7 linked regions of the Cricetulus griseus genome follow. The protein of the gene in region 7 purifies or fractionates together with the protein of the main gene of each other region. This does not show direct contact. Links are inferred from orthologs where the notes say so. Each region holds a gene or a part of one and is shown on either strand. Other genes may lie near its edges.

The links.
Region 1: the proteins of Ctnnb1 (region 7) and Pkm purify together in Homo sapiens (affinity purification with western blotting; 5 studies listed by BioGRID and IntAct, with this or other methods). This does not show direct contact. The link is inferred for Cricetulus griseus from reciprocal best matches to the Homo sapiens genes CTNNB1 and PKM.
Region 2: the proteins of Ctnnb1 (region 7) and Ptpru purify together in Homo sapiens (affinity purification with western blotting; 3 studies listed by BioGRID). This does not show direct contact. The link is inferred for Cricetulus griseus from reciprocal best matches to the Homo sapiens genes CTNNB1 and PTPRU.
Region 3: the proteins of Ctnnb1 (region 7) and Amer1 purify together in Homo sapiens (affinity purification with mass spectrometry; 4 studies listed by BioGRID and IntAct, with this or other methods). This does not show direct contact. The link is inferred for Cricetulus griseus from reciprocal best matches to the Homo sapiens genes CTNNB1 and AMER1.
Region 4: the proteins of Ctnnb1 (region 7) and Ctnna2 purify together in Homo sapiens (co-immunoprecipitation; 5 studies listed by BioGRID and IntAct, with this or other methods). This does not show direct contact. The link is inferred for Cricetulus griseus from reciprocal best matches to the Homo sapiens genes CTNNB1 and CTNNA2.
Region 5: the proteins of Ctnnb1 (region 7) and Smad3 purify together in Homo sapiens (affinity purification with western blotting; 6 studies listed by BioGRID, with this or other methods). This does not show direct contact. The link is inferred for Cricetulus griseus from reciprocal best matches to the Homo sapiens genes CTNNB1 and SMAD3.
Region 6: the proteins of Ctnnb1 (region 7) and F-box/WD repeat-containing protein 2 purify together in Homo sapiens (affinity purification with western blotting; 4 studies listed by BioGRID). This does not show direct contact. The link is inferred for Cricetulus griseus from reciprocal best matches to the Homo sapiens genes CTNNB1 and FBXW2.

What each region holds. Positions count from the first base shown.
Region 1 is NC_048597.1:171,203,575-171,207,543, forward strand, and holds the start of Pkm (pyruvate kinase PKM), read left to right. Parts: upstream 1-1,169; 5' UTR 1,170-1,184; coding exon 1,185-1,234; intron 1,235-3,969. UniProt on the Homo sapiens protein: Catalyzes the final rate-limiting step of glycolysis by mediating the transfer of a phosphoryl group from phosphoenolpyruvate (PEP) to ADP, generating ATP.
Region 2 is NC_048595.1:21,482,937-21,486,436, forward strand, and holds part of Ptpru (receptor-type tyrosine-protein phosphatase U), read left to right. Parts: intron 1-56; coding exon 57-211; intron 212-2,719; coding exon 2,720-2,855; exon of another isoform or gene 2,856-2,931; intron 2,932-3,310; coding exon 3,311-3,460; intron 3,461-3,500.
Region 3 is NC_048604.1:74,643,227-74,646,726, forward strand, and holds part of Amer1 (APC membrane recruitment protein 1), read left to right. Parts: coding exon 1-2,209; 3' UTR 2,210-3,500. UniProt on the Homo sapiens protein: Regulator of the canonical Wnt signaling pathway.
Region 4 is NC_048601.1:69,548,727-69,553,006, reverse strand, and holds the start of Ctnna2 (catenin alpha-2), read left to right. Parts: upstream 1-1,480; 5' UTR 1,481-1,683; intron 1,684-4,280. UniProt on the Homo sapiens protein: May function as a linker between cadherin adhesion receptors and the cytoskeleton to regulate cell-cell adhesion and differentiation in the nervous system. Required for proper regulation of cortical neuronal migration and neurite growth.
Region 5 is NC_048597.1:175,281,546-175,285,548, reverse strand, and holds the start of Smad3 (mothers against decapentaplegic homolog 3), read left to right. Parts: upstream 1-1,203; 5' UTR 1,204-1,703; coding exon 1,704-1,909; intron 1,910-4,003. UniProt on the Homo sapiens protein: Receptor-regulated SMAD (R-SMAD) that is an intracellular signal transducer and transcriptional modulator activated by TGF-beta (transforming growth factor) and activin type 1 receptor kinases.
Region 6 is NC_048599.1:146,551,096-146,555,243, reverse strand, and holds the start of F-box/WD repeat-containing protein 2, read left to right. Parts: upstream 1-1,348; 5' UTR 1,349-1,457; intron 1,458-1,558; 5' UTR 1,559-1,667; intron 1,668-1,712; exon of another isoform or gene 1,713-1,931; intron 1,932-4,148. UniProt on the Homo sapiens protein: Substrate-recognition component of the SCF (SKP1-CUL1-F-box protein)-type E3 ubiquitin ligase complex.
Region 7 is NC_048597.1:227,990,048-227,994,006, reverse strand, and holds the start of Ctnnb1 (catenin beta-1), read right to left. Parts: upstream 2,801-3,959; 5' UTR 2,631-2,800; intron 2,265-2,630; exon of another isoform or gene 2,172-2,264; intron 1-2,171. UniProt on the Homo sapiens protein: Key downstream component of the canonical Wnt signaling pathway.

The sequences.
Region 1 (3,969 bases), about 57 Mb from region 7:
CCTATTTTGTGCGGCCGCAGATTCTTCTGGTTGCCGGCGAAGCACTCGTGCTCCGGGCTACCCGGGCCATGTGGGGTGCCTGCAAGCGCTCACGCGGTCCATCCTGCGGTGGCGAGGCTGCGCGTACCGCAGGGCTCCTGGACCAGCCAGTCACACTGCTCCAACGTGCTGGCCCGGGGTGGGCGATCAACCAAGGGCGGCTTCCGAATGTAGCTGCAGCCCGATGCGACCAGAACGCTCATAGCCCACAGAGTTCAGTCTGATTAGGGAAGCAAAATTTGTCAAGTCAGTGCTGTGAGGAAGGATGGGGCTGCACGAGCTGGTCCGCACACAGGGATTGAGTAAGCAGTAGAGCACCTAGTCTGAAGGTTACTTAAAAATACAGTCTTGGAAAGATGCCTCTGGATCTATCTCCTCTTCCAAACCCAGGAGATTGATAGGATAAATAGAGCCTCATAATGTGGGTCCAGTCCTGCGTGGAGGCAGCGGGGGATATACACAGGTTTTAGGAATCTTCTGAGGTGGTTCAGCCTCTTAGACATTTGCTCCAGACTGCTGGAGTTACTGGCCTCCGTGTCTGTACGGACATGACTAATCTCAGGTGAAATGACCACGAGGGCGTGCACATGTACTTTTTTTTTGTCAATGGATGAAATACAGTTACCTTGAAGGCCGAGTCTGTCGCCCAGTTATTCCTCTACACATTAGTACTAAGCTTGGGGAGGCAGGGAGGCAATGAACACCCAGTATCCCCTAGGAAACGAATTCTCTCTGGTCCGTGTTTACAATGTAACTAATGTTAACAATTGCAACTCCCAAGAAAGCCAGCTATCTAAAGGGACAAATGCTGCAGCTTTTGTCTTCGACTGTAACGGTAGAAACAAAGGAACAGGTACCCGGATCAGTCTCTTCTGATTTTCTCGTCCCTGATGGTTCATGTAAGACCTTTCTGCTCCCTGGCTTGTAGGAAGTTGGATTTGGAAGCTGTTGCAGTAAGTTCTGTTGCCACAATACTTAGGGTGGGGCTACTTTCTAGAGTACAGAAGGGAGGGCCTTGGGTCAGGATTCAAGGTACCATTGTTAGCAAACAATTTACTGTCTGGTGGCCTGAGGATGTTGTAGGTAAGGCAGTGAGGCTGTTCTGTGGGAAAGTGTACTGTAATCCACCACCGGGTCTGGGCAAGATGACTCATCCTTTCACATTAGCGGCATTCGAGAAGATTCTCATCCTTGGGTGAGTGGGGAAAACTTGGTACTCCTAGGTTTAGTAAGGCCCCTGTTTAGTCAGTCAAATACTGAGCTAGCGTGCATTTCCCTAAGTTAAACTTCTATGTGTCACTCAGACTGAGTGTGGTGGTTCAGCACTTGGAGGCCAGGATCGCAGGTTCCAGAGGGGGGAAGGGGCAGCAAAATGCCGGGGACCAGGCCCTTTGTGCTACTGGAGTGCTGGAAGTGTGAGTGGTTGGTCCTAGTCTATAGGTCCACTCTTAATTCTTGAGTGATAGGCACAGCAGCTTCTCATGGAACAACCAGTATCCAGAATGACAATTTCTGTGAACTCATTTGAGTTACTGCTTTTAAGTGGAACTATATGGATGATAATTAATCACTTTCTAGTACATAGCTGACTCCAAACAACTCAGTCTCATGGGGGTTGGATATACCATCTGTTTTGGCAAGAAGGTATGATCACAGGAAAGGACATCTTATTTCTTAAAGCTGTTGATTTCTTAATATTGAGTAGAAGAAACGAGCCATCCATGGGCAGGAAGGTAGAAAAAAAACCTATTGCATTAGACTCATTACTTGGGTTTTTAGTGTCTTTTGCTTCAGCTTTTCTACAGGAAGTCAAGATGAGTTGGCCAAGCACTAAGGTGGAGATTGAGGTAGAGGAAAATGACTGATTCACTTTAAGTTTCTGAATCATCCCAAATACCCACAGCCAAGTTAACTGGTAAACTACAAAAATGAGTTGTCGCCTGTGAGGTTTTTTACTTCGCTGGTAAGAGTACATAAGTACTGAGTCATCCTTGCAAACTTCACTCTGGTACGGATAGAAATAAATGACAGACTTTTTGATTAATTCCTGACATGATACTTTCTTGGGTATTGCAATTTTTCCCAAGAGCCAGACTTAGACTGGATATGGAGTAGTCGGAAGAAGTGAGCCCACGTGGTGAGCCCACGTGGGTGGTGGCCTGCAAACCTCTGCTGGCCTCTTAAGGCTTAGTGTAACAGCTCAGCTCAGGACTGGGGGTGGTCTTACAGACACCAAGCTGTGCAGTGAGGCCACGCCCCTACCGTAGTTTGTGCCTGTCTGCACGTAGGAGGGAAGGGGGAAGGTTTGAGCTGTAGTACCTCTGGTGGCCTCTGGGACACCTTCACTGAAGGGTCTGGGGAGCTCTGAATCTTTCCCAAAGCCAGCTAAGCTCTAAAGGAAGCTGCATCCCTTCCAAACATTTTTTTATTTTTATTTTTTGTTGTTGTTGTGTTTGTTTTTCGAGACAGGGTTTCTCTGTGGCTTTGGATGCTGTCCTGTAGACCAGGCTGGTCTTGAACTCACAGAAATCCAACTGCCTCCCGAGTGCTGGAATTAAAGGTGTGCACTACCACAGCCCGGCTCCTTCCAAACATTTTCAATTAACCTACAGGTCATATTTTGACTTTAAACTACTGGTGTTTTCCAGCAATAGTGTAAAAGATTTTAAGGCATGCCCATTTTGGAAGAGTAGGGAAGCACTGGGTATGGTGGTGCACATTTTTAATCTCAGCACTCAGGAGGCAAAGGCAGGCGGATCTTCAATTCAAGGACAGCCCAGAAGAAGCTGGTAATGTAGTGCTCGGGAAATGTTTGCCTGTTGGGCACAAAGTCTTTCCATCACTAGCACTACATAAAATTGACATGCCTTTAATTCCAACATTCAAGATGTGGTGGCACGAGGATTGGAAGTTTATATTCAGCCTCAGCTACTTGATGAGCTCAAGGCCAGTCCCAGATACATGAGAACCCATATCAAACAAGAAAAAAAAGCCAACAACATAGGGTTCAATATAGATATAGTGATTGGGTATCCAAAATTCAGGGTAGGGGTGGGGACAAAGGACAGCGGGAGGGTTAGAGAAGTCAGAGATTGGGAGAAGGAAATTATTTATGGATTGAATACAATCAGAATACTTTTTATTTTTGGAAAGTCTAAAAATACAAATCATTGTTGAAGCAGAGTTCTAAGTGGTAGAAACACAGGGTTTGGGGTCCCTCTCCCCCTTGGGAAGGAATAGTTGTGATCCTATAAAGGTCACTGTAGACAGGCACTCATAGTAAGTAGGTCAGTGCTCTTGGACAGCTGGTACTGCCTTCCCTATTTAACACCCCCCGCCCCCCTTGGTTCAGGACAGAAGCTGTGCCTCCAGTTGGGGAGACCATTGTGCATTCTGCTTACACCTGGTTGGTTTCCTAGACTCCTAGCCAGGGTCCAGAGTGGGCATCATTCCCGGTAACACTGGCAGCTTAAGCCTGCTAAGGAGGGCACCATGTGCCAGCAGAACAGAAACTTTCTCCCAGATCATCTTCTGGCTCAAACTAGTTGCAGGAGATCCTTGGTACTAAGGACTGGAGAGTTTCTTTGTCCCTGGCATTCTGTCCTGAAATAAAATGGTCTTTCTGCAGGATGGTCCTCATAATTGCATGGCAGGATTTACAGTAGGACTGTTAAAGTTAAGGTTAAATAAAAGATGGTTTGTGCTTGTTTCTTTAATTTTTTTTTTTTTGACCCCACAGAAATGAGCCACCCAAACAGGTGGGCTCATATTCTGAATAGCCTTGTAACACCAGACTTTTCTGGTACAGAATTTGCTAGGGTTAAGAAGTAGACCTCCCTCTGGACAAGGTAGCAAATGCCTTCAATCCCAGCATTCAGGAGGTAGGGGAGATGGATATCTTGAGTTTTAGGGTAGCCAGGGCTATGTAAT
Region 2 (3,500 bases), on a different chromosome or scaffold from region 7:
GCAGGTGTCCAGTGGGTGCTGCTGGCAACTGACTGTCACCACTGTGGTTTCCACAGAGAGGCTACTCGACCCGGCATGAGGTCCGCCAGTTCCACTTCACAGCGTGGCCGGAGCATGGCGTCCCCTACCATGCCACGGGGCTGCTGGCCTTCATCAGGCGTGTGAAGGCTTCCACTCCACCTGATGCTGGGCCCATTGTCATCCACTGCAGGTGGGAGCCCGGGAGATCCCAAGGAGAGGGACCAAGGCTGGGGGAGCTGGACTGGAGTGGGGCAGGGTCTTGGGTCCTAAAGAGGACCGGACTTGGGTTCAGCCTGCTTGGAGACAGAGGATAAGAGAGAATGGTTCCCCAACGATCCTGTGAGCTTTGGCTCTGAGGTTGGCATCCCTGGAGCCCCCTTACCACAGCTGCAATCCTGGAGCCTGCAAGCCTACAGCTCCTGTGGCTTATACGGGCTTCTCTGCAGGAATTCTCACTAACTGATTTCCCTTGCCCTATAGCCTCCTGTTAGTGTCTGTCTGTCTGTCTGTCTTTTTCTTCCTCTCTCTTCAGAGCTCATTAACATAGCATCTTCTAAGAATGAATTCCAACTGATACAAAAAGTCTGTCATGCAAAATGTAATTTATATCATGAACAGTGAGTGTGCCTGCAACTGATGGTTTACTAGCTGAACCGTGAGCTCAGTCTTATAGATCTGTTACTTATAGAGTAACTTATAGAGTAACAGAGCATGGGGGTGGGAGATGGAGGATGGAGGTGTTTGATCCCCAGCACCTGTGTAAAAGGCTGGGCATGGGGGCATGTGCCTGTCATCCTGGCCTTGGGAGACAGAGACAGGAAAATCCCTGCCCCTCACTGGCCCTGCCAGCAGGTCCCAGGTTCCAGTGTGAGACCCTGGTCCAGAAGGAACAATGAATAGTGCTCCTAGGGAATGACACCTGATGCTGACCTCTGGCTTCTGACAAGTTTGTACACATGTAAAAGTATAAAGTATTAACACCCCACTGTACACACACACACACACACACACACACACACACACACACACACAGAGCCAAGTTCTGGAATGTTCCCTATTCCCAGAGCAATCACAATCTGACTTCTTCCCTGCAGGAACCCTTTCATGGGTTTGAACTTGGTGTGAATTAAGTCCCGCCAGTGTGAGTTCTCTGCTGTGTGACTTTCTACCCTCTCCTTTGTGTGTGAGGTCCATCCACACAGCACCACATTCCAGGGTGAAAACGCTCTGGCGTATCTGTCCACCTCCTGTTGCTCGGGATCCACTGGTTTTCACCAGAAATAGTGGTGCTAAAACAAAATGGCAGCCCTAAGGATGATCTGACACAGTGGTTGTCAACCTCCCAATGCTCCCACCCTTGAATACAGTTCCTCATGTTGTGATAATGTCCCCACACCATAAAATTATGTCATTGCTACTTTATAACTGTGATTTTGCTGCTGTTCTGAGTCATAATATAAATATCCGATATGCAGGATATCTGATATGTGACTCTGAAGGGCTCAAGACCCACAGGTTGAGAGCAGCTGTTCTAAGGTGTGGCTGGCTTCTTGAGAGGAAATGCACCCACATTGCTGTGGGCCATGTGTAGGGCAGAACTGCCATCTGTGAACAGTCAGCTCTAGTGGGTGCTGTCCAGGTGATTGGAGCCGTGCAGTCCTCGGTGATGCTTTGATGATGGCGGCTTCAAAGCCGGAACCCTGGGGCATCCTTCCCAACCTGCCTCCCCATCAACACTGCTCCTGTGGAGGCAGTGATGGATCCAGGTGGGGTTAGGGAGCTGGCCACATAAATAAGGACCATGTAGCCAGGGTTTGAGCAGAAGTTAGCCATATCGCTCTGAGAGTTTGCAAGAGGGCCGTGTGTCTGGAAGTGCTGGATGTTCCAACTGTGGATGAGGATGGGTGTGGATGGGTGTGGATGGGTGTGGATGGGTGTGGATGGGTGTGGATGGGTGAGGATGGGTGTGGATGGGTGTGGATGGGTGTGGATGGGTGTGGATGGGTGTGGATGGGTGTGGATGGGTGTGGATGGGTGGATGGTGTGGATGTGGAGGATGGGTGGGATGGGTGTGGATGGGTGAGGATGGGTGTGATGGTGTGGATGGGGTGTGGATGGGTGAGGATGGGTGTGGATGGGTGTGATGGGTGAGGATGGGTGTGGATGGGTGGATGGGTTTGGATGGGTTTGGATGGGTGTGGATGGGTGTGGATGGGTTTGGATGGGTTTGGATGGGTGTGGATGGGTTTGGATGGGTGTGGATGGGTTTGGATGGCTTTGGATGGCTTTGGATGGCTTTGGATGGGTGTGGATGGCTTTGGATGGCTTTGGATGGGTTTGGATGTGTGGGTTTTGAATGCTATGCAGGAGTCTGGGATATCCAAGGGGAATGTGTGTTCTTAGATTGCATTCCGAGAATCACCTCCGTCTCTCCGCCGAGTCTTGGCTGTTAAGTTGAGCTAGCCTCACTTCCATGTCCGCCCGTCCTCTTTCTGTCCTTTCCTTCCCCAGGTCTTGTTCTACGCCCTCAACTGTGTCCTCTGTCACCTCATACAGAACCCCAGCTTCACAATCCCTCTTTGTTGGAGTGCTCCCAACCCCTAAGTTATGTAGCTGGGCAGATTCCCTGGTCCCCAGTTCTTTTCCCTGATTTTGAGCCCCTGCCCCTGATGTGGTGCTGGCCTTCTCTTCCCCTCAGCGCAGGCACTGGCCGCACAGGCTGCTACATCGTCCTGGACGTGATGTTGGACATGGCTGAGTGTGAGGGCGTCGTGGACATTTACAACTGTGTGAAGACCCTCTGTTCTCGGCGGGTCAACATGATCCAGACTGAGGTTCAGACCAGCCCTGTCCCCGACCTCTCCCCTCCATCTAGGTCTCAGGGTCTCTGTCATGGAGCGCAGAGCTGGGGTAACGTGTCTTCAGAGCATCCTAGGCCCTTCCTTCCCGGGGACCATCTCAAACATGGCAGTGGGGGGTTGGGGGGATCTTGTAGTTCTCTCCAAATCTCACTTCATGGTGTTGTGTCAGGTGAGTCAGATGGCGGCGGCGGGCTCCAGAGTCACGTGTACCAGGGTTTGTGCCCTCACTAGATCTGGGATCTTGGACTGTCCCTCAGCGCTCAGATGATCTCCTGGGAATGTTCCTGGGATGTAGTAGATGAGCTGATGCGATGGTTGGACCCAGCCAAGCATCCTTGCCGCAGCTGTGGCTATGTTTTTCCTTCATCCTTGGTAGAGCTCAGCTTCAAGCCTTCTCTTTGTTCTTACATTCTCATCTCTTGTTCTAGGAACAATACATCTTCATCCATGATGCAATCCTGGAGGCCTGCCTGTGCGGGGAGACTACCATCCCTGTCAATGAGTTCAAGGCCACCTACAGGGAGATGATCCGAATTGACCCTCAGAGTAATTCCTCCCAGCTTCGGGAAGAATTCCAGGTAGGGGGATGTGTGTATGGGTGTGAGGAGTGGGTGTATG
Region 3 (3,500 bases), on a different chromosome or scaffold from region 7:
CAATGAGGAAGAGGAAGATGAGGAGGTAGAATTAGAGGATGAGGAAGAGGAAGTCAAAGATGGGGAGGAAGATGGTGACTTAGAGTATCTGTGGGCAAATACCCAGATATATCCAAGATCTAATCTGAACCTGGGCTACCATACTGCTACATCCCCAAGTCACCAGGGCTACATGCTCCTTGACCCAGTTCAGTCTTACCCTAGCCTAGGCCCTGGAGAACTTTTGACTCCTCAGAGTGACCAGCAAGAGTCTGCTCCCAATAGTGATGAAGGTTATTATGATTCTACCACACCAGGGTTTGAGGATGATTCAGGTGAGGCACTGGGGCTTGTCCACAGGGATTGTTTACCCAGAGATAGCTACAGTGGCGATGCCCTATATGAATTCTATGAGCCAGATGACAGTCTGGAGAGCTCCCCTCCTGGGGATGACTGCCTTTATGACCTTCATGGTCGCAGCTCCGAGATGTTTGGTCCTTTCTTGAACTTTGAGCCCTTTTCTTCTCGGCCACCCGGAGCAATGGAAACAGAGGAAGAACGGCTAGTGACCATCCAGAAACAGTTGCTATACTGGGAGCTTCGTCGGGAGCAGCTTGAGGCTCAAGAGGCATGTGCTAGAGAGGCTCATGCCAGGGAGGCTTATGCTCGAGACACCCACACTCGGGAATCTTACAGCAGAGATGTCCGAAGCAGAGAAGTCAAGGCCCGAGAAGTTCATGCTCAAGAGGGTCGAGTCCGAGAAACCCAGGTCCGGCAGGAGAAGCCTGTCTTGGAGTATCAGATGCGGCCCTTAGGCCCATCAGTAATGGGCCTCGTGGCAGGGAATTCAGGAGCTTCTCAGACTTCCCACCGGGGAACCACTTCAGCTTTCCCTGCTACTTCTAGCAGTGAACCAGACTGGCGGGATTTCCGTCCTCTGGAGAAGCGTTTTGAGGGGACTTGCTCCAAAAAAGATCAAAGTACTTGTTTGATGCAGCTCTTCCAGAGTGATGCTATGTTTGAGCCAGACATGCAAGAAGCAAATTTTGGAGGATCTCCCAGAAGGGCCTACCCTAGTTACTCACCCCCTGAGGAGCCAGAGGAAGAAGAAGATGAGAAGGAAGGGAATGCCACTGTGAGTTTCTCACAGGCCCTAGTAGAGTTTACCAGCAACGGAAACCTTTTCTCCAGCATGTCCTGCAGCTCTGACTCTGATTCATCCTTCACTCAAAACCTCCCTGAGCTGCCCCCCATGGTCACCTTTGACATTGCTGATGTGGAACGGGATGGAGAAGGCAAGTGTGAAGAAAATCCCGAGTTCCACAATGATGAAGACCTCACAGCCTCCTTGGAAGCTTTTGAGCTGGGTTATTACCAAAAACATGCCTTCAATAGCTATCACACTCGATTCTACCAAGGCCTGCCCTGGGGTGTTAGCAGCCTCCCTCGATACTTGGGGCTCCCTGGCATACACCCTCGACCTCCACCTGCTGCAATGGCACTCAATAGGAGAAGCCGTTCCCTTGACAATGCAGAGACCCTAGACCTGGACCTCTCCAGTTCTCATCTAGCTCAGGGTTACTTGGAGTCTGATGAGCTACAGGCCCACCAGGAAGATTCAGATGAAGAAGGTGAAGAAGAGGAAGGAGAATGGGGCCGAGACAGTCCCTTGTCCCTCTACACTGAACCTCCAGGGGCCTATGACTGGCCAACCTGGGGTCAATGTCCTCTTCCATTGGAGCCAGACCCTGCTTGGATAAGCCCCAATCAGTTGGATGGGCCTTTTAATCAGTCTTCATATGGTCAGGCAACCTGTTGTGTACCTCCTGTGGCAATGGCAATGGCAGTGCCAGGGCTCCCAAGAGCACCTGGAGACTCTCTGTCTCAGCTAGTTCGACCTTCACACCTACCCCTGCCCATGGGTCCTTGCTATAACCTTCAATCACAGGCCTCCCAAAGTGTAAGGGCCAGGCCTCGGGATGTACTGCTGCCTGTAGATGAGCCCAGTTGTGCCTCCATTTCTGGAGCCAACTCTCTGTCTCAAGCCAAGCCTGTAGGCATCACCCATGGTATCCCTCAGCTGCCCAGGGTACGGCCTGAACCCCTTCAGCTTCAACCCAGTCACTACAGAGCTTCCAACCTTGACCTGTCAAAGGAGAGAGGTGAGCAAGGTGCCTCTCTCTCTACCAGCTACTCCTCCACTGCCATGAATGGAAACCTAGCCAAGTAGTCATCAATTCCAGAGTGGAGACCTGAGCATGTGAATGGGGGTCAGGGGTTGGGCAGAAGGGTGGGGGTGGGGGTTGCTGTTTAACTTGAAAATCCCTTTGGCCAAGATAAACTCCTCTGAGTTTTCACTTTGTTTTCCCACCTCCCTCTGGCATCTTTGGCTAGGTTCAGCCCAAGTACATCTGCCCAGGGAAGTTGCTGCTTCTGTGCTCTAGTTTTTGCTTTGGGGTTCTTCTGACCCATATAGGGCTTGGGATGCATCCTTATTGCAGGCTGAACCCCTCTTCTCTGGTCCCTTGTTGACTAATGAACCACTGATGAGCAGCAAATTTTTGCACTGACTCACCCAGAGATGGGAGGCTTTCTGGCTATTAGCAATATAAAGTTATGGTACATATTATTCCTAACCCCCTTTACATCACATCAAATGACTATAACCTGTTTATCCCAGTTAGTTATGTTTAGAGTGGATCAAGTAGCATGTGTCTCGCTCCCAATTGCTGTGGACTTTGGTATTATAACTAGATGATGTCCTTTTAACCTGGCCTGACATAGTCTAGAAGACAAAACACTAATCCCCATAATGGAGTGAGTAAATCTGTCTGTATTCAAGCAGAATACAAAGGTAGATAGATTGTGGAAACTGATGTGGGGTCTTGAGCTGTGGAACGATATCTTGTTTGTTTCTTAAGCCTGTGGCTGTTGCAGGCACTTTAGAACTTCCCCTTGGTCCTGTAACTGAAATTGTCATAATCTCATTAGAAGGAATGTAGTCTCTTAATTGAGATAAGGGAAGAGAAGCCACCTAAATTGGGCTTGACTGTAAGCATTGGGTTTTGTGGGATGAAAAGGAGGAAAACAGAAAGAGGGGTCCATTTATCCTGGACACCAAGAAGGAATCTCAGACTTTGCAGCTTGAAGCAACTTAGCTTAGGAAGGAAAAGGTTCCCCCACTCCTTCCTCCCAAACCAAAAGAGTTCCTTAATCCTTGTCCACCCCGTTGTGAAGTGGTTCCAAGCTTACATTTCCAAGACAGGATGCCAAAGGCACCTTACCTGTTGTTGTGGGCACTTTAGAAAGCTTTTGTCTCCCAATTAGCCAAGTTCTTAGTATTGTCAAAGGACCAGGCTTCTTGAGAGGAAAGACTGTAATGTGTCCTTGCTCTGCCAAGCTGCAGGCCTGATTTGCATGGCAGCTGCAATCCTTTTTGAAATGAACAGCACCCTCCCTTCTCTTACATCCATGCAATTTTCTTTTTTCTTTGTTTCTTTTCCCTTTTTGGGGGGGGCAGG
Region 4 (4,280 bases), on a different chromosome or scaffold from region 7:
TTCTTGCTTTAAATCAATGATTTCTTCAAACTCTAGTTGAAGACCAGTTTCCAGGCTCCTTTTCACAGGGATCATATATTTTACCACAAATTCTTTAAGTGATCTGCATGCATCTATTTATTTATCTAGTTAGCTAGTTGTTTTATTTTGTTTGTTTATCCTCCCCCTTCCCCTCAAACTGCATCTTCTTTAGAATATTTCTCCAGTTTCTATAAGTAGAGAGCAAGGAAAAGTCTCCGAGTGAGGGAAGAAAGCTGACAGGGTGGCAGTGCTACTGTCCGTGGTCCTGAACCAGCATTGTTCGAGGAAGATGTTTTCTAAAGCTTGCTTTTGGTGACGTTTGTCCACGTTTCCCTACACGTTTTAAAAATGGTCAAGGGGTGATGGGAAAGGAAAACAAAGTCGAGGAGACATTTGGAGAGAAAGATAGAGGATCATATAGTGGCAACTTAGAGATAGGAGCACAGTTGAGTTCCATGTAATTTCCTAACAACTGCAAAATTGCAACTTAGGAACAACAGTGGAGGAAATTCCGGACGCAGCCAAGGGTGAAAGGGCAAGAGAAATTCGAGCATCCAGTGATGCCGGGCCATTTAAGCACGGCATGAACAAAAGATTCAATGGTAGTGGACGAGGATTCCAGATGGAATAAGTGTCGACTGCATGCCAAGCTGCCGTAAGCTTTCTTCCACTTTTCTGCTTTGATGTAGTACAGACAAAGCCAAAGTTGTCATTCGGCACTGTGGTCGAACAAAGACAATTGTAACTTATGCTTCTCGCTGGATATAGCTGTGTACCGTTTTGCCTCGAAGTATGTCTCACAGTTAGACCCCATCACCAAGCTCCCAGTACTTCTGGCTGACAAGGCACGCGTGTCTCTCTATTCATATTCCCAACTTGTGTAACCCCTAGGAGGACAGAGAGTGGCCTTAAACATTATAGGTACTTCAACATGCCTAGAGTGTGTAATACCGACAACTGCAATGCCTTCCACAGAAACTGAGTCCAGAAACTGAGGCTGTTTGTTAAACAGCCTCGGCCCTGTTTTCCTTAACTGTCCCATTCTTTTCCAGGTTTTCCCTCGTTCGGGGCTGCAGGTCCAGCAGGGCTCTGGCCTCCTGCTGCCACGTGGTTCGGTCTTTTTGAGCAGAAGTCCTCATCCAGCCCTTTATCACCCATGCAGATCATTCAGAAACCCAGCCTCTCCTGGCCGGGTTGCATCAAGCTCCTGGTCCCCGCCCAGAGGGTAACGCCATTGCCATGGAAACGGCACCTGCGCCCTCTGTGGCGCCTTTCTCCAGTCCCTCCCCTCCGGCGCTCCCGGGCCACGCGCCCGCGTGCTCATCCTTTGCCAGCCCGGGCGAGCCGCGGGCACGCGCCTGCGAGCAAGAGAGCGGCTACGCGTGCGCACTGTGTACCTCCCCTAGCGGCGATCCGGGCCGCTGCCGCTCGCTAGGGCAGGACGCGGGGCGGGCGGGGGGAGGGGGGAGCGGCTTTGCTGGCAGCCCTGAGTGAGGCGGAGACCCGGGCGGAGCGGGCGGCACCGCACCTCGGCCAGAAGCAGCTGCAGCAGCTGCCCTAGTCCCCACCGCCGCCTCTCCAGCCACTTCTGTCATTCCACGCCAGCTGCTGCAGACAGAGGACGAGGAGGAGGAGGCGAGAAACTCCCACCGACCCACAGAGGTGAGTCCCGGGCAGAGCATCCTCCATCCTTGCCTGCCTCCCTCCCTTCCTGCCTCCCTCCCATCCTCTCCATCCTCCCCTCCCTCCTGCTCCCCAGCCCTCCCGCCCTCATCCTTCCCAACATCCCTCTCTCCTCTCTGCTCCTTTCTCCCTTCCAGCCTTTCTTTCATCCCTTTCTTCTCTCACCCAGCCCTACTTCCTTCCCACCCTTTCTTTCTTCTCTGTTTTTCTTTCAGACACTCACCCTTCAGCTCATCTTTGCATGCCTTTTATCTATCTTCTTTTCATCTCTTTTCACCCTTCTTTAACCTCACCCCTTCCGGGTGGGTGGGATGGTGGGGAGCATCCTTGCCTGCTACAACTGTCCGGATTCAGGGGCTTCTGGTAAATTGGTCTCATGTACCAAGAGAGGCACACTCGCACAGAGAATGCCCTGCAGTTCTTTACATTGTCAGGATTAAGGGTCAAGTTGGATAGAGTACTGGGAACTGGAAGGAATAGGGTCCAGGAACAATCTATGGATATGTGCTATAAAGGGTGGGGGTGGGGAGGTTGTCACTTAGATATGTTTCCAACCGTCCCCCACTCCCCTCTTCAGTTTCTTCCTTTCTTTTTTTCCTCCTGGGAATTGTATATTCCCAGTGTGTATCACACTAATTTAAAACCAGCTTTCTCTGCTTTGATTGTCGTCTCCATGAGAAACCGCAAGGAAAGAGAAGCTTGGAAGGGAACAAGAGAGAAAGAGGGGAGGGGAGAGGAAGGATGGCAACAGTGAAAGCCTGTATCCCTTCCCTTAGGCCTTTCTGGATTGACGTTTTCAAGCCACCCGCCTAATATTCAGCTTGGACTTGAACCTGTGTGTCCTTGGCTCAGTCACTATCTACTTCACAGACAGAAACTCTCTCAACTTTAATGCCGGTGCATTGCACAATGTGTTTTGCTCGGTATGCAAAACACTCTGGGAACTTGGTTTGAGGAAATAGGAAGATACACTTTTTGTTCATCCCTTGTTAACTTCAGGAGACTGAGAATGTCTAGCCAGTTGTTGGAGAATGAGGCTTTACTCTGCTGTCTTGTAAACATATCATTTTGGTAGCATTAGTTATGTGATCGAATTCGGCACAGCCACCCCCAGTCCTTTTCAGCCACCTTATAGAAATCCTGATACTTGAAGAAAAATGTTCCGAGAGACTGTGTCCTTTCCTAGATTTACACTTACTGAAAAGTTGAATTGCCTCTGGGGATTATTGTTAAGAATTTAACATTTTCAGTCAATTTTTCATCAGTTACTTGCACTGAATCCTGTATTTGACATTGCTTTCTTTAGCTTCACTTAAGCGTGTTTCAGTGTATGTCAAAGATGGCATGGCAGTTTTTGTTTGCAAATGCTGTTTCTAAAGGATTTACTTAGACAGCATTTACTTAGATGGCAGGACAGCAATGCTGGATCAGTATATCATCTTAGTGAGTCTAATTGTGTGCATGAAATAAAGTGTAAAAATTAAAGAACTATATTTTGTTCTGTTGAAATTCATCTGAACATTAACATCTCCCGCAGCCTTAACTTTAAGATAGCAATTTTTTTCTTTATAAATAGTATCTGCAGAGCAACCAAAACTGGATTCCCTGAAGTTGCCAGTCAATAACTAGGATATGGAGTTGCATTTATTCCTTTTACTGAGATTCTGATGACATTTCAGCAGTGTAATAGGCACTTTTGCATTCCTTGTGAATGTGCAGTAGGAGTTGAAATGAAGAGAATGGCCTTCTTAAGTGACAGAGTGCGGATCTGAGTAACAGCTGATACCTCTGGTCATGCGGATTAGTGTTTGGGAAATGTGTGATATTAGGAAATAAGAGAGGTCTCCCCCTTTACCTTCCCCTGGAGGAATGCAGCTCCTCTCACCGCTTGGCAGGTTTATCATCCCTGTGGCAGAAGCTCAGTTGAAGTATCATTTACTAATGTCTCCAGGTCGAATTGTGGTCAACCTTGTATGTGTTTGAATGGTTATATCAGTTGACAGTGAATTTGCACACAGGTGTGTTTTTGCTATTGCTGTTACTTTTCTTGTCCCAAGTTTCAGCCAATGAAAGGCTTTCATGGCAATCTGGGGGGGATAATAACTTTGTTTTGTTCTAACTTACTTTCAAATGTCATTTTCCCTGCTAATCTATTACACTTGCTTTGTGGGGTTGTGAGTGTGGGAGGAATGGTCTCTCATCAGCCTGCTTTCTATGTTGCAGTTTTTCTGCTCAGAGTGATGAGGGAGTATCTCAGATAGTAATACAGTGCTCACTGTGGATAGAATGGCACATTTTATCTGACTCTTCTTTATAAATATTCATCAATATTGTGAAAGCAGACTGAAGTTATTAAAGAAATAGAAAATGAAATATTTTGTTTATGACAATATCTTAGGAGAGTGGATGAGTGAAATGAATAAAATATGAACTGTAAAAAGAATGAATGCATAAAGAGGCAATTTGATGTAGCTGGGGTACAGCTCAGCTATAGTTTGCGTGCACAACATGATCCAGACCCTTGGCCTGTTCTACAGGACCCCCCAAACAGAACACAAACAACAAAAGAGCTAACT
Region 5 (4,003 bases), about 53 Mb from region 7:
AATCCTCCTCCTTTCAGGACTTGGCTTCAGGGAGGTGGAAGGAGACACCTAGGAAACCACAGCCTCTTGACAAGCTGTGGCTGGCGATGGGGCACCCTCGGTGACAGAGCTGGGGGCCCCTGAAGCTTCTGGGCTGACTTTGTGGGACTGGCCACACTTCATAGGTCTTTGTAACTCCCACCGGCTCTTGGTTTGCAAATAACTTCTTTCTCACCACCGTCGGTGGTGGTGGGGTTTCCCACTGTTTAAAACAAGCATAGTCCTATACCTACTGAGTTAACCCGATGGGATTGCAGCCGCAGGGTAAAGGAGCTGAGAGCCTGCTGTAACGCCTCCAAGCCCGTGAAAGGACCATGGGCAGCCAGCCCCGAATTCCGATAGTTGGGCCCCAGGGCTACCCAAAGTCAGGTTCTCTTGGTGTCCTACCTAGGCTAACTTTGAGTAAACTTCGTTCCACTTTGTATGTGCGAGTTCACTGCTTTGTAAACAAAGCTCTCTTGCTTGTTTGGCGTCGAATTTCAGTAACACCCAGCAATGTTAATTCTTCCCCTCCCCCAAAGATAAATCCTAAAGCGCTCCCATTCATTCCTTAAGGAATGCAACAGATGTCTTTGAGGCCCGTTTTCTGCAAAGAGCTTGGTTCACTAGGCCCAAGGGACCCCAGGCTCCAGCTATTGTTCAAGTTGTCACTGAGGTCTCTAACTCCACTTTTAAGTCTCCCTCTCCCCCTTCCCAACTCCCTCCTCCGCAGTCTCCGGGCAGTCAGTCGGTCTGATCTCACCCAGCGGGAAAACAAAAACAAAACAAAACAAAAAACACCAAACCAAAGGAAAACAGCCGGGGCCAGTGAGCGAGATCAGTGCTCCCCGGCTTCCTGGGCTTGGAACTGAACCCCTCTTCTTGTCCCAGTACTCTCCAGGGAGCAGCGAACCCTAGGGGTCCCGCGCCTGTTCCGGCGAGTCTAACACTCTCTAGTCCCTGCAACTGCATCTGAGCGTCTTGAGGGCGGCGAGTCCCCAAGAGTCTGGTCCCGCGGCCGCCGTGCCCGGTGGCCCACGTGGGCGCGCTTGGCGGCGCTGGGCGGGGAAGGCCGCGGGTCCTCCCCGGAGCTGAGCGCGGGGGAGGAGCGGGGAGCCCGAGCGGCGAGGGGGCGGCGACAGCGCTGGGAAGAAGCCTGCACGCGGAGCTGCGTGAAACGTAGACTTGGGAGCGGGCGGGAGAGGAGCGGGGAGCGCCGCTGCACGGCCCTGGCCGGCCCTGCGAGGCGGCGATCAGCGGGGAGGAGGAGGAACAGGAGGAGGAGGACTGCAGAGGCGGAGGGATCTGCTCACCAGAGTCATCCAGGCCAGCAAAGTTTGGCTGGGGGTTGGACTTTCCTTCCCGGAGGCGGCACCCAAACAGCTACCCCGTGCGGAAACCCAAACTTTCTACTGCCACTCGGAGTCTCAGCGGCCACCGCCTCCGCCCCGCGCGCCCGGGGCCTGCCCGTCAGTCCGTCGGTCCTCGTGGAGCTACTCAGGCGCCACCGTGCTCCCGATCCCCGCAGCTGGAGTGCCGCGGCCCCGGCCCGGACGCCGGGGCAAGTTCTCCAGAGTTAGACGCGAAGTTCGGGCGCGGCGCAGGCCGAGCTGCCCCTGTGCGCCCCCGGCGTCCCCAGTGCGCCCAGTCCCGCCGGGGGCGCCGGTGACCCTCCCGTGCCAGCCATGTCGTCCATCCTGCCCTTCACCCCTCCGATCGTGAAGCGCCTGCTGGGCTGGAAGAAGGGCGAGCAGAATGGGCAGGAGGAGAAATGGTGCGAGAAGGCGGTCAAGAGCTTGGTGAAGAAGCTCAAGAAGACGGGGCAGCTGGACGAGCTGGAGAAGGCCATCACCACACAGAACGTGAACACCAAGTGCATTACCATCCCCAGGTGGGGGCCGGGAGCGACGGGGGGCGCGCCGGCCCAGCCCTCTAGGGCGGCCAGGGTGGAGAGGGGAGGGCGTGTGCGTGTGTGTGCGCTCTAGTGTTGGGGACAGGCAGTGGGTGGAGGGACCCCAAACAAAACCTTCTTCGGATTTGTCCAGGCTCAGAGCCCAGGCTTCCATGCGGCACTCTGGCTTCCAGACCTCAAGGATCCCTAGCCGCCTGTGGGCAGCAGGGGTGCTGCTGAGCTTGGCCCCCCACTCTCTGGGCTTTGGGCTCCAAGTAGAGGCCCCGCTTTGTTCGGCTCTGCCGGCCGAGCCCCTCCTCCGCCGCCGCCTCCCGCCCCGCGCTCGTGGAGGTGGTGGCGTGTGTCCCTTTCTTTTCTTCAGCTCTGTTCCCCCACTTCTTTTCCTCGTCTACAGGAATGCAGTCGGTACAGCTGTGGGTGAGGAGCGGGAGCCCGTTGATTGACAGATTCCTTCTTCGCTCTTTCTTTGCCTTGGGATTAGCATTTTTATCGAGTATTTTTAGATTTGGTTGTGCCAGCCTCCCGCCCCCTGTGCACGCATGCACGCACGCACTTAGTTGCAGAGCAAAGCACCGACTTTGAAGCGGGAGAAACAAGTGGCAGAAAGTACGGTCATTCCCTCTTCCCACCCCACGCCTGCCTGGTATGCCTTCATTTTAATTGAGAGTTTGCGGGTGCCTAGAACCGAGCAGGCAGCTCCAGACAGATAACAAAACATCCCAGAGCTGGCCTCCCTCTGTCCCTGCATTCCTGTAGAGACCTCTTTTCCCAAAACGCTTTGCCATCTGTCCTGACCTCCTTTATCCTTCCCATCGGGCTAGAGGAGTCCGGCGGGAGCTCACAGATGGCTGATGGAAGGGGTCAGTGACTTCACTCCCAGGGCCTCCCAGAGCATAACTGCGCCTGGGATGAGGGCACTTTAGCCTTCTGTCTCCACTTCTCAAGACATCTTTAAAGATTGATTCCAGAGGAGGGCAGGTGCGGATGTTGCGGGGTGGGGGTGGTGGTGGGAGGTGGTGGTGTCCCAAGCTGCAGAGGAATGGAGAGAGAGCTCCCAGGGCCTAAGATAGAGAGGTCATCATTCTTCCGGGCCAGGGTGGCCTCCATCCTTGGCCACCTGCTCAAGGCAGCTGTGTGTATGCTGCCAGCCCTAACAGTAAGGCGCAAAGCAGCATCTGTCCACAGGAGCCCAGGGTCGGCCTTCCCTGGAAATAAACACCACAGACGGTAGGGATGCCTGCTTAAAAAAAATAGCCAAAAAACAAAACCAAAAACAACCAACCCCCAAACCTGGTTGGGATCAATAAAGGGGGAGGCGAAGGCAGTTGTCTGGGAAGAATGCTTGGCCTGTGAGCCTCTGCCAACTGGCTTTAGGGGGGTGCTGTGACGTGATGGTCACAGGCACCTGGGTTTTAGCTCCTGCTCTGGCTCCTCATTCTTCTTTATCCTTTTGACGAAGTGGAGTGGCTGAGTCTCAGGTCTCTGTCAGATCCGGAGAAATAGCCTTTTCCTAATACGCCTGGGTGCAGCCACACTGAATACTTTATGTTTTGAACCCCCTCAAGTGATATCAATTATGAAGCAGCTGGGCAGAGTGTTTCACAATTTACAAGGCACTGTCATAGGCCTGATGAAGGCCTGGAAAACAGAACAGGCAGCGAGGTCTAAAATGATCTTGCCTTTCAACCAGACAGACCTTCACAGGAGATAGGGAAAAACCTAAGACTGGGGCTAGCATACCCTTTCTCCCAGACTGTTGTGGACTCTGAGAGCCCAAAGCATCCTTATCCAGGGAGGGTGGTGGATCTCTGCCTGGAAGGTTCTTGGTTCATCTTTGGGCTGGGGTCAGCTTAGAGGAGAGACTGTGCCTTCCTTGGCCTACATTTGCCTTCTGATCTTGCTTTCACTTGCAGCCCTTCCCAGTCCCAGGCAGGTGAAGGTTTGTGTGCTTCTGAGAGTTCAGGCTAACCACCTCCACTTCACCCAGGTCTTCCAGGACTAGGCATCTTCAGACTGCACAAAGAAGGTGGTGGGTGGGAGCAGGGTTTTTGTTGGTTGGTTCTTTGGTTGTAC
Region 6 (4,148 bases), on a different chromosome or scaffold from region 7:
CTACTTCTTGATAGAGGGGACAGGTATGGCCCATAGGCAAATGGCAGTTTGTTAGGATTAGTTGGTTTGTTTTGATTGGGCATGTTAATTAGGTGAACCAAAGGGGGCTTTTGATTGCTAGACTTTAATACTTTTGATAGCTGGACCTTGATAGTCACCCTCAGGAGGAGGAAGTAGCCAAATAAAGAAGTACTTTGGTGGCTAGCTTTAGGAATGTAACCTAACAGTGTAGCAAGGCAGAGGGAATGGGGGAAGGACAAGGCCTGTCAGAGCCATGCTCACCATGCTCGTCATGCCCAGGCCTACTGTGCCCTTCATGTATAAAAAATTGTTGACACCCCTCCTCCAGGATCTGCTCTTGCTCTTGTCTGCTCATTGCCCTTGTCTGCTCAGGAGACAGAGGCAGGCCGATCTCAGGTCAAGGCTAGCTTGGCCTACAGAGGGAGTTCCAGGACAGGCAGAGCTACACAGAGAAGCCCTGTCTCGAAAGACAATAACAAAAAGGCTATCACACAGCAGCATTAAAGAGCTTCTCCTTGTTGAAGAGTTTCTTGCTTACCATGGTTTCTGTCTGGAGAGAGCAAAAGGATGCCAGTCAACTGATACATTATTAATCCCACCCACCACTCGAGAATAAGACCACTACCACAGTTTAAAGCCAAATTTGAAGCAAACTTCAATTAAATATTGGCCAGGTAGATGTGATCCGGCCCGGTCCATACCTGGTTTCCCAGGAAATGGCCCAGAACCAAGTTTTACAAGGGCTTAAAATGTAACTTTGGCTCTCACAAAGTAACTTAAGTGTTATAGAGAACAGCCGTCTCCATGGTTGAGTAACCTCAACCGATCTTTGGGCACAGGGTGCACGTGTTATGGTTCACGCCTACCTCACCTGGCTGCCCCTATCCAACTCCCTTAACCATGTTTTGTTTTCTACAGCACTTGCTTCTTTCCACATAGTTTGCTTGGTTGTTTATGCTGTCTTTCTCCTACGACCAGATGTAGACCTCCCACAGTTAGGAATTTGTTCATCTGTGCCAGAATCCAGTTTGGGATGTATCAAGTGTGATGGGTTGTCTCAATTTAGGTACAACTTAATTTGTAGCCTTAATCCCCGATGAAAAATTGCTCCCAACTTGGTGAAAACAAGGGTAGATGAGGAACATAAACACCCCGTGAAAATCTAGACAGCTGCCTTGAAACGAAGCTTTAGTTCAGGGTCACTAGGTCTAAGTGAAGTCAGGTAGGTGGTAGGCAATAAATAGCCTACCTCTCCACCTCTCTCCACAGACCTGACCATTCTTTCCCACCTTCCGGGTGGGCGGGGCCGGAAGTAGAGCCGTTTCCGCCTGGAGCTGGGCGCTGGGTGCCGGGAGGGACGCGCGGAGATGACGCAAGCAGCACCGGAAGCCGCTCCCCTGTGAGGTTGCGGACCAGAGCAGCGGCCGCAGGTCCAGGTCTGTGTGGGCTCTGGGCCGGGCGGGATTGGGCAGGGATCCTGGGCGCCCGCGGCGTTGCTGACCCACCCCCTCGGCCTGTCTTCTCCCTCTCCCCGCAGGCGCCATGGCTGCGGAGCGGACCCGGCCGCTGCGACGCTCTGGCGGCCCGAGCGCGCCTAGTCGGTGTGAGCCCGGCGCGAGGTCCCGGGCCCCGGGGCGCTCGCTCAGGTCAGTGCCGCGCGGAACACGGCTCCGGGAGCAGGGGACCAAGGGAGTCATGAGCGGGCTGAGGGATTCGGAGTTCATTTTAGAAACAGGAAAATTAGATCTAAGAGTTCCTGCCTCGGTTTCCCTATCTGCGAAATGAATTAACATTGATGCCCCAAGGCTACCGTTTGATGAAAGATGAAGTGCGGACAGGTGGTTTGTAAAACACAGAACGTTGTAGAGCGTGTAGGAAGGCACCATACTTGTGGGTATACTTGAAAACAGGTGTGTATTCGGGATGCTGCTTAAAAAAAGGGGCCGAGATAACTGTATTCATACTACATAGTAATAGTAACTGGCATTTATTGTAGGTTTATAGTGTGCCAGATACTGTGCAGAACACTTTATCCTGTTTAATCCTCACAAACTCCAGTAGGTAAAACAGTACCAGGCTACAGTTTACAAGTGAGGAAATATGCTTGAATTACAGGAGATGATTTGCCCATTGGTTACCCAACAAGTGAAATTTCAGGGCCCGAGTTTTTATTTGAATTTTTTTCAAAGCTTTAAAAAAATAGCCCCCAAACTAGGGGCTTTTAGGCCATGGGTGGCTGTGGACTCTAGTAGTCTCAACACTCAGGCAGCTGAGGCAGGAGAATTGTGAATTGGACTCCAGCCTGGGCTGCATTGCAAAAGCCTGTCTCAAAAGACAAACAAAAAAAAATTAAAGCAATTTTCGAAATTCCTGGAGCAAAGAGAGGAAAATATTTTTAAAATAGTGTATTCACATGTTTTAAATACAAAAACCTTTATATTTAAAAGGGAGCTCCCTCATCCCTTTCCCTTGTCTTTCTCATTCTCCCTGGAAGTAACCTGTTTAATCAGTTTCCTGAATATTCACAAAATATTTTTATGTACATATAACCCTCAGTGTACACATGCACACATATTCAAAGCATCTGATTCTTTTTTCCTTTTCGGTTTTTTGAGACAGGACCTCTCTACATAGCTCTAGCTGCGCTGGAACTCCCTATGTAGACCAGGCTGGCCTTGAACTCAGAGATTTCCCTACATCTGTCTCTGCTTGGCCTGCCTCTGCTTAACTGGTTGTACTTGGTAGGAAAAGGGGGGTAAGGAGATAACCTTTCCAACAACAACAAATATCTACCTTTTATTCTTTAAAAAAAAATACATTTTTGTGTGTGGTGTGTATGTATGCTTGAGTTTGTGTGTGAGTGTGTAAGCCAAAGAACAATTTTACGGAGTCAGTTCTTGCCTTCTAACTTTACGTGGTGTCTTAGTTTGGTTTTTATTGCTGTGACCATGCTATTACCATGACCATTACAACTGTCATAAATGAATACCTTTAATGGAAGAGGCTCAGTTACAGTTTCAGAGGTTCAGTCCGTTGTCATGAGGAGGAGCATGGTAGAGTGCAGGCAAGAAGTTGACTGACTGTCACACTGAGGGAAACTTGAGCAGAAAAGACCTCAGAGCCTGCCCCCCCCCCCCCCCCCCGCGCGCACATACACACACACACACACACACTTCCCCTCCAACAAGGCCACACCTCCTAATAGTACCCCTCCCTTTGGGGACCATCTTCTTTCAAACAACCACATTCCACTCCCTGGCCCCCAAGGTTTATAGCCATATATTAATGCAAAAATGCATTCAGTCCACCTCCCAATGTCCCCATAGTTTATAATAGACCCAAACATGTTTCAAAGTCTCTTCTCAGATGCATGGCAATCTCTTTACTGTAATCCCCTGTAGAATCAAAATCAGAAAACAGATCATATACTTACAACATATGGTGGCACAGGATATACATTTTCATCCCAAACACAGGGAAGGGAGCATAGTGAGGAAATACCAGACTAAAGAAAGACTGAAAACCAGCTGGGCAAACTCCAAACTCTGCATCTTCTTGTCTGATGTTAAAACACTTCAGATCTCCAACTCTGTTCATCTTTGTTGACTACAAGACACTTCTTTCTCTTGGGGTGGTTCCACACCCTGTTAGTAGCTCTCCTCTGCAGGTAACCCATGACTTTGGTGTCTATAACATTGTGGGTTCTCCAAGGCAATCCAGGCTTCAACTCCACAGCTTCACACAATAGCCTCTCTACTAGGCCCCCATTCAGGGACACCCTGACATGTACTTCTATAACTCCTTTTTTTCTATCCTTAACTCTATCAGAACCACATGGCCAACGCTGTCAGCTGTTAAGGTATGCTGCTTGCTGGGGCTGGAATATGGCCCCCTCATTCAGTTACATCTTCACTAGCTTTCTTTCTGTCTTTCACTGCCTAAGCTTGGCTATCATGAAACTTGGTCGGTAGACCAGACTGGCCTCAGATTCAGAGATCCTCCAGCCTTTGCCTTCCCAATGCTAGGATTAAAGGAGTGCCCCAGCACACCAGGCTCTTAATTCCTTTTACAAGTTAGAAATTTAGCGGGTGGTTGGGATCTTCCTCTGAGGTCACCAATTCATTTAT
Region 7 (3,959 bases):
CAGCTGCAACCGGGAAATGTCTTAAGAGACAACACAACTAAGTTCCAAAAAAGTGGCTAAGCCCTGGGACAGCGTACTTCCTCTTTTAAAGGCTTTTCTCCCCAAGGAAGACTATATGCATTCTCCCAGAGTTCTACATCAGCAGGTAAATCTAGGTTCCCAGTCAAGTGGCGCACAGCGTTACTCACAGGTAAACAAGGAAATAAGAACCTTTCTCCAGGGCATAAAGAGCTCCTGCTTCAGTTCCGATCCACACATCACTTTTCTTTTGTGAAACCACAAGTCGGTACTCATCTCACCCTGTCAGTGATCTATGGGTCACACCCTCTGCCACTGCTCAAGGGTTGATTCGTCTGAGAGCTGTGTCCTCTAAGAGAGGGCAGAGGCTGCCTCCACAGGCCATGTAATGTTTGCTACAAACAAGCTGTGAACACTGTTTATCAGAGGTTTGTCTCACAGGTAGAGCTTCTGACCAAGTTCCAAAGCACACTAAAAATTTACCACCTCATACCCAGGTGATGGGCCCAGACCACTGCCTCACCTAAACACTGAGATTGCATTTGACTGGTCTACTGGTGCTGTCCACTTCACTGCTTAGCAGTATAAGGATCCAAACTCCCGACCCCGGTGCGCACAGGCTCTGGTCTCTGCCCTGCATTCATGTGGAAAAGGCTCCACCAGTACTGTGCACACCCCGAGGTGCTTGTCTCCTTGTCCCCCACCTTGGCGGTGGCATTCTGAAACCAGTGCTAAAGCTTCATTCCCAGCAATTTCTATCCCCATCATCACTATAGAAGTGGACAGATACTCCCCAGGAGACGTTTAATACCCAAATATACATTCTCATGGGGACTCCAGACGGGTGGCTCTCAACCTGGAGGTCGAACGACCCTTTCACAGGGAACACCTAAGACCATCGGAAAACAAATTATTTATTTACATTACGATTCATAATAGGAACAAAATTAAGAGTTATGAAACAGCAACGAAAACAATTACATTTTTGGTGGTCACCACAACACAAGGAACTGTATTGAGGGTTGCGGTATTAGGAAGGTTGAGAACCGCTGCTGTAGACAATTGTTGAGACAGTATTTGACACCTGAGCTTCCCTCTTTGAGGCTGGTCCTCCTGCGACTATGAAGTCTGTTCCAGGCAAGCTCAGCTTCTTTCTGTCTGAGAAGGTCTGGTGCTAGCTACTCTAGAGAAAGACGCCTGCATGTCTCCAACTTGTCCAGACTCGGCCTTCATTCAGGACAAAGGTCAGGGCACAGAACGACCATCCCCAGCACGGTCATCAATGCTGTCTGCTGCGAAAGGGGGCTCTCAAACCTTGGAGACACTTCTTTTTAATCCGGGGATTTCTGAATATTTAAAGGTAAAAGTGAACTAAACGTAACAGCGGCCTCAACTCACATAAAGTTTGGGCCCAATGCATCGAGACATAGAAGCCACAAGCTTAAGCAACGTTCAATTAGAAACCAACAGAGCAAGCTGCATTCCCTTTCCTGGGACGGGGAGGGCCTGCACCCGAGACGTCTGCAAGCCACACAAGTAAATGGCGGCATGGCTTCCTTCCTAAACCCCAGACAAAACGCGGCACAACTTGGCCGTGTGAAAAACATGAGGCAGACTTCATCAAAGGCAAAGCTGCCGTCTCTCCAGCCGGCCCGCTGTCTGGTCTAAGCCACCATTATTCACGGCACAAAGCTCTCGTTTCACTAAAACCACTCCTCGATTTCCTCTCGCCGACCTCCGCATACCAGCGGCCCAGCCACTCTCCATTCAGCGCTCAGGCCGGGCGGGCGGGCGGGCGGGGGAGGGGAGGGGAGGGGGCCACAGATGTCTGCAGACCCGAGCCCGAGACAAAGCTGCCCCGCAGCCGCCGGCGCGGCCGAGCCGGCCCGGGGCCCCTAACTTACGAGTCCGCTCCCCGAACAGGGCACACACTCGGAACAAGTCTCCGCGCTCGCCCGGGCGGGCCAGGCCGGCGGTCCGCGCTCCGGCCACTCTGTCTCTCTGTGTCTCTCGGCCCGAGAGCCAGCACGGGGGTCGCGGAGGGCAAGCACGCTCCGAGCGGACCCCTGCGCACCCCACCCCACCACCCCACCCGCAAAACCACCAGTGGCCGCCGCTCGCCGCGACCCCGGACTCCCGCCCGCCCGCCGCACCCAGAGTTTGGCGACTCCGCGGCTTAAAGTTGTTCGGCTTCAAACTCGCACAGTGAGGTCGTCGCAAGGGAGAGAGAGACGGGGGGAGAGATCTATCCGTGCCCCGCCACGGAAGGAGGCGACGCGCGCCACCCAGCCAGCCAGTCCGGCGTCCTCCGAGCGCGGGGGGCGCCCGCACCCCGTCTCCGCGGGCCCCGGAGGCGGAGCCCCCCGCCCACCCGCCCCCGCCCCCCGCCCCCCGCAGCCCAGCCGGGACGCGAACCGCGGGTCCCACCCCACGGGCCAGCGTCCATCCGGGCTCCCGGAGCGAGGGCGTCCGCCGCCGCCCGTCCCCCTCCCCCGGCCGCGCCCCCGCTCCGCCGGCCCCGGCCCCCGCGGCCCTCCGCCGCCGCCGCCGCGGCCGCCCGGCCCGCGAAGTTTCCCGCTGGCGCGGCTGGAGCCCGCCGCCGCGGGCCGCACCTCGGGCCGCGCGCTGCTCCCTCACGGCCGTCCGCTCGCCCTCGGCCTCCTGAGCTGACGGCTCGGCGCCCACCGTGCTCCGCTCTCCGTCTCCGCCTCCCCGGGCCGCGGGCTGCGCGCAGGACACGAGCTGACGCGGCCGCCACCGAGCGAGGGCTTAAGATGGCGCCGCACAAGGAGCGCTTTATAAAGCGGCGCGGCACCGCGTGTCCTTCCGCCGCCGCCCGGCGCGGAGCGTGCCGCCGCGCGAGGACGAGGGGCGGGGGCGCGGGCGGGGCGCGGAAAGTAGTCCCCGCCGGCCCTGCCGCTCCGCGCATGCGCCGCCGGGAGGGCCGGGCCGGGGCGTGGCGTCCCGACGCCTTTGGCTCCCCGTGGTGGAAGCTGAAGGGAGGCGCGCGCGGGCGGGGGTGGGGAGGGGGGCCGCCACCGCGGGCAGGGTGGAGCGCAGCCCCTCGGAGGGCGGGAGTTCGAGACCCGAGCCCGGCTCTTGCCCCGGCGTCCGGGACACCGCCACATCCCTGAGCTGCGACTCGACCCCACCGCAGGTCACTGTCTGCAGGGGCGTCTGCTCTCACCTCCTGCTGCGCCTCCCGAACCCCGACAGGGATCCCTGGGGCTCAGCCACCTCCCCCCCACCCCACCCCAAGAGGCCACGGAGTCCCCATGAGTGCCTGTTGGTAACATCTAACTGGAACAGGCGGTCCAGCTGCAAGGCACTGTGCACCAGCCTGGTTCCTAGAAATCCTGTCTCACCGGGAGCCACTGGGCAGGGAGACTTTTCCCAAGGACTGCAATTTTATTGTCTTGTGTGAGAAACTCGAGTGTGTTGCTGAGAGGACCCACGAACAACTCCAGATTTTTCCAAACCCACTTTGCATCCTTCGAGAGCATGTTATCTGAGTCATTACCACAGGCTGAAGTTGGGTCATGCCTTGGAAATGGCCCCATTGTCGCCCTGCACGGCTGGCGCTGGTCATAACTGGAGCAGTTGGGGTGGGTTGGCTGTCTCCAGGTCTATTATTGTGTGCTCACGTCTCTTCCCAAACAATGGCAACAGTGAAAGTCGCCCCCCTGCCTTCTTTCATCCCAGCACTGTAATTAACGCAAGTAAACAATAGGCCCTTATGTACAGGTACTGGCAGGAAGCCTGTCCGGCCACTGAGCCAGAGCTAATGCTGTAGGGCCAGCTTATTTTTTAAATGACTCATTTTTCTATCTTAAAGATATATCGTCGTAGCTCTGTGAGGACCATTGTCTAGTCCTTCCCCTCTGCATCTCTGCTAGGATTTCCGGAGAATAAACGCTGCTACAGGCTGGGGCTGCTTTGGC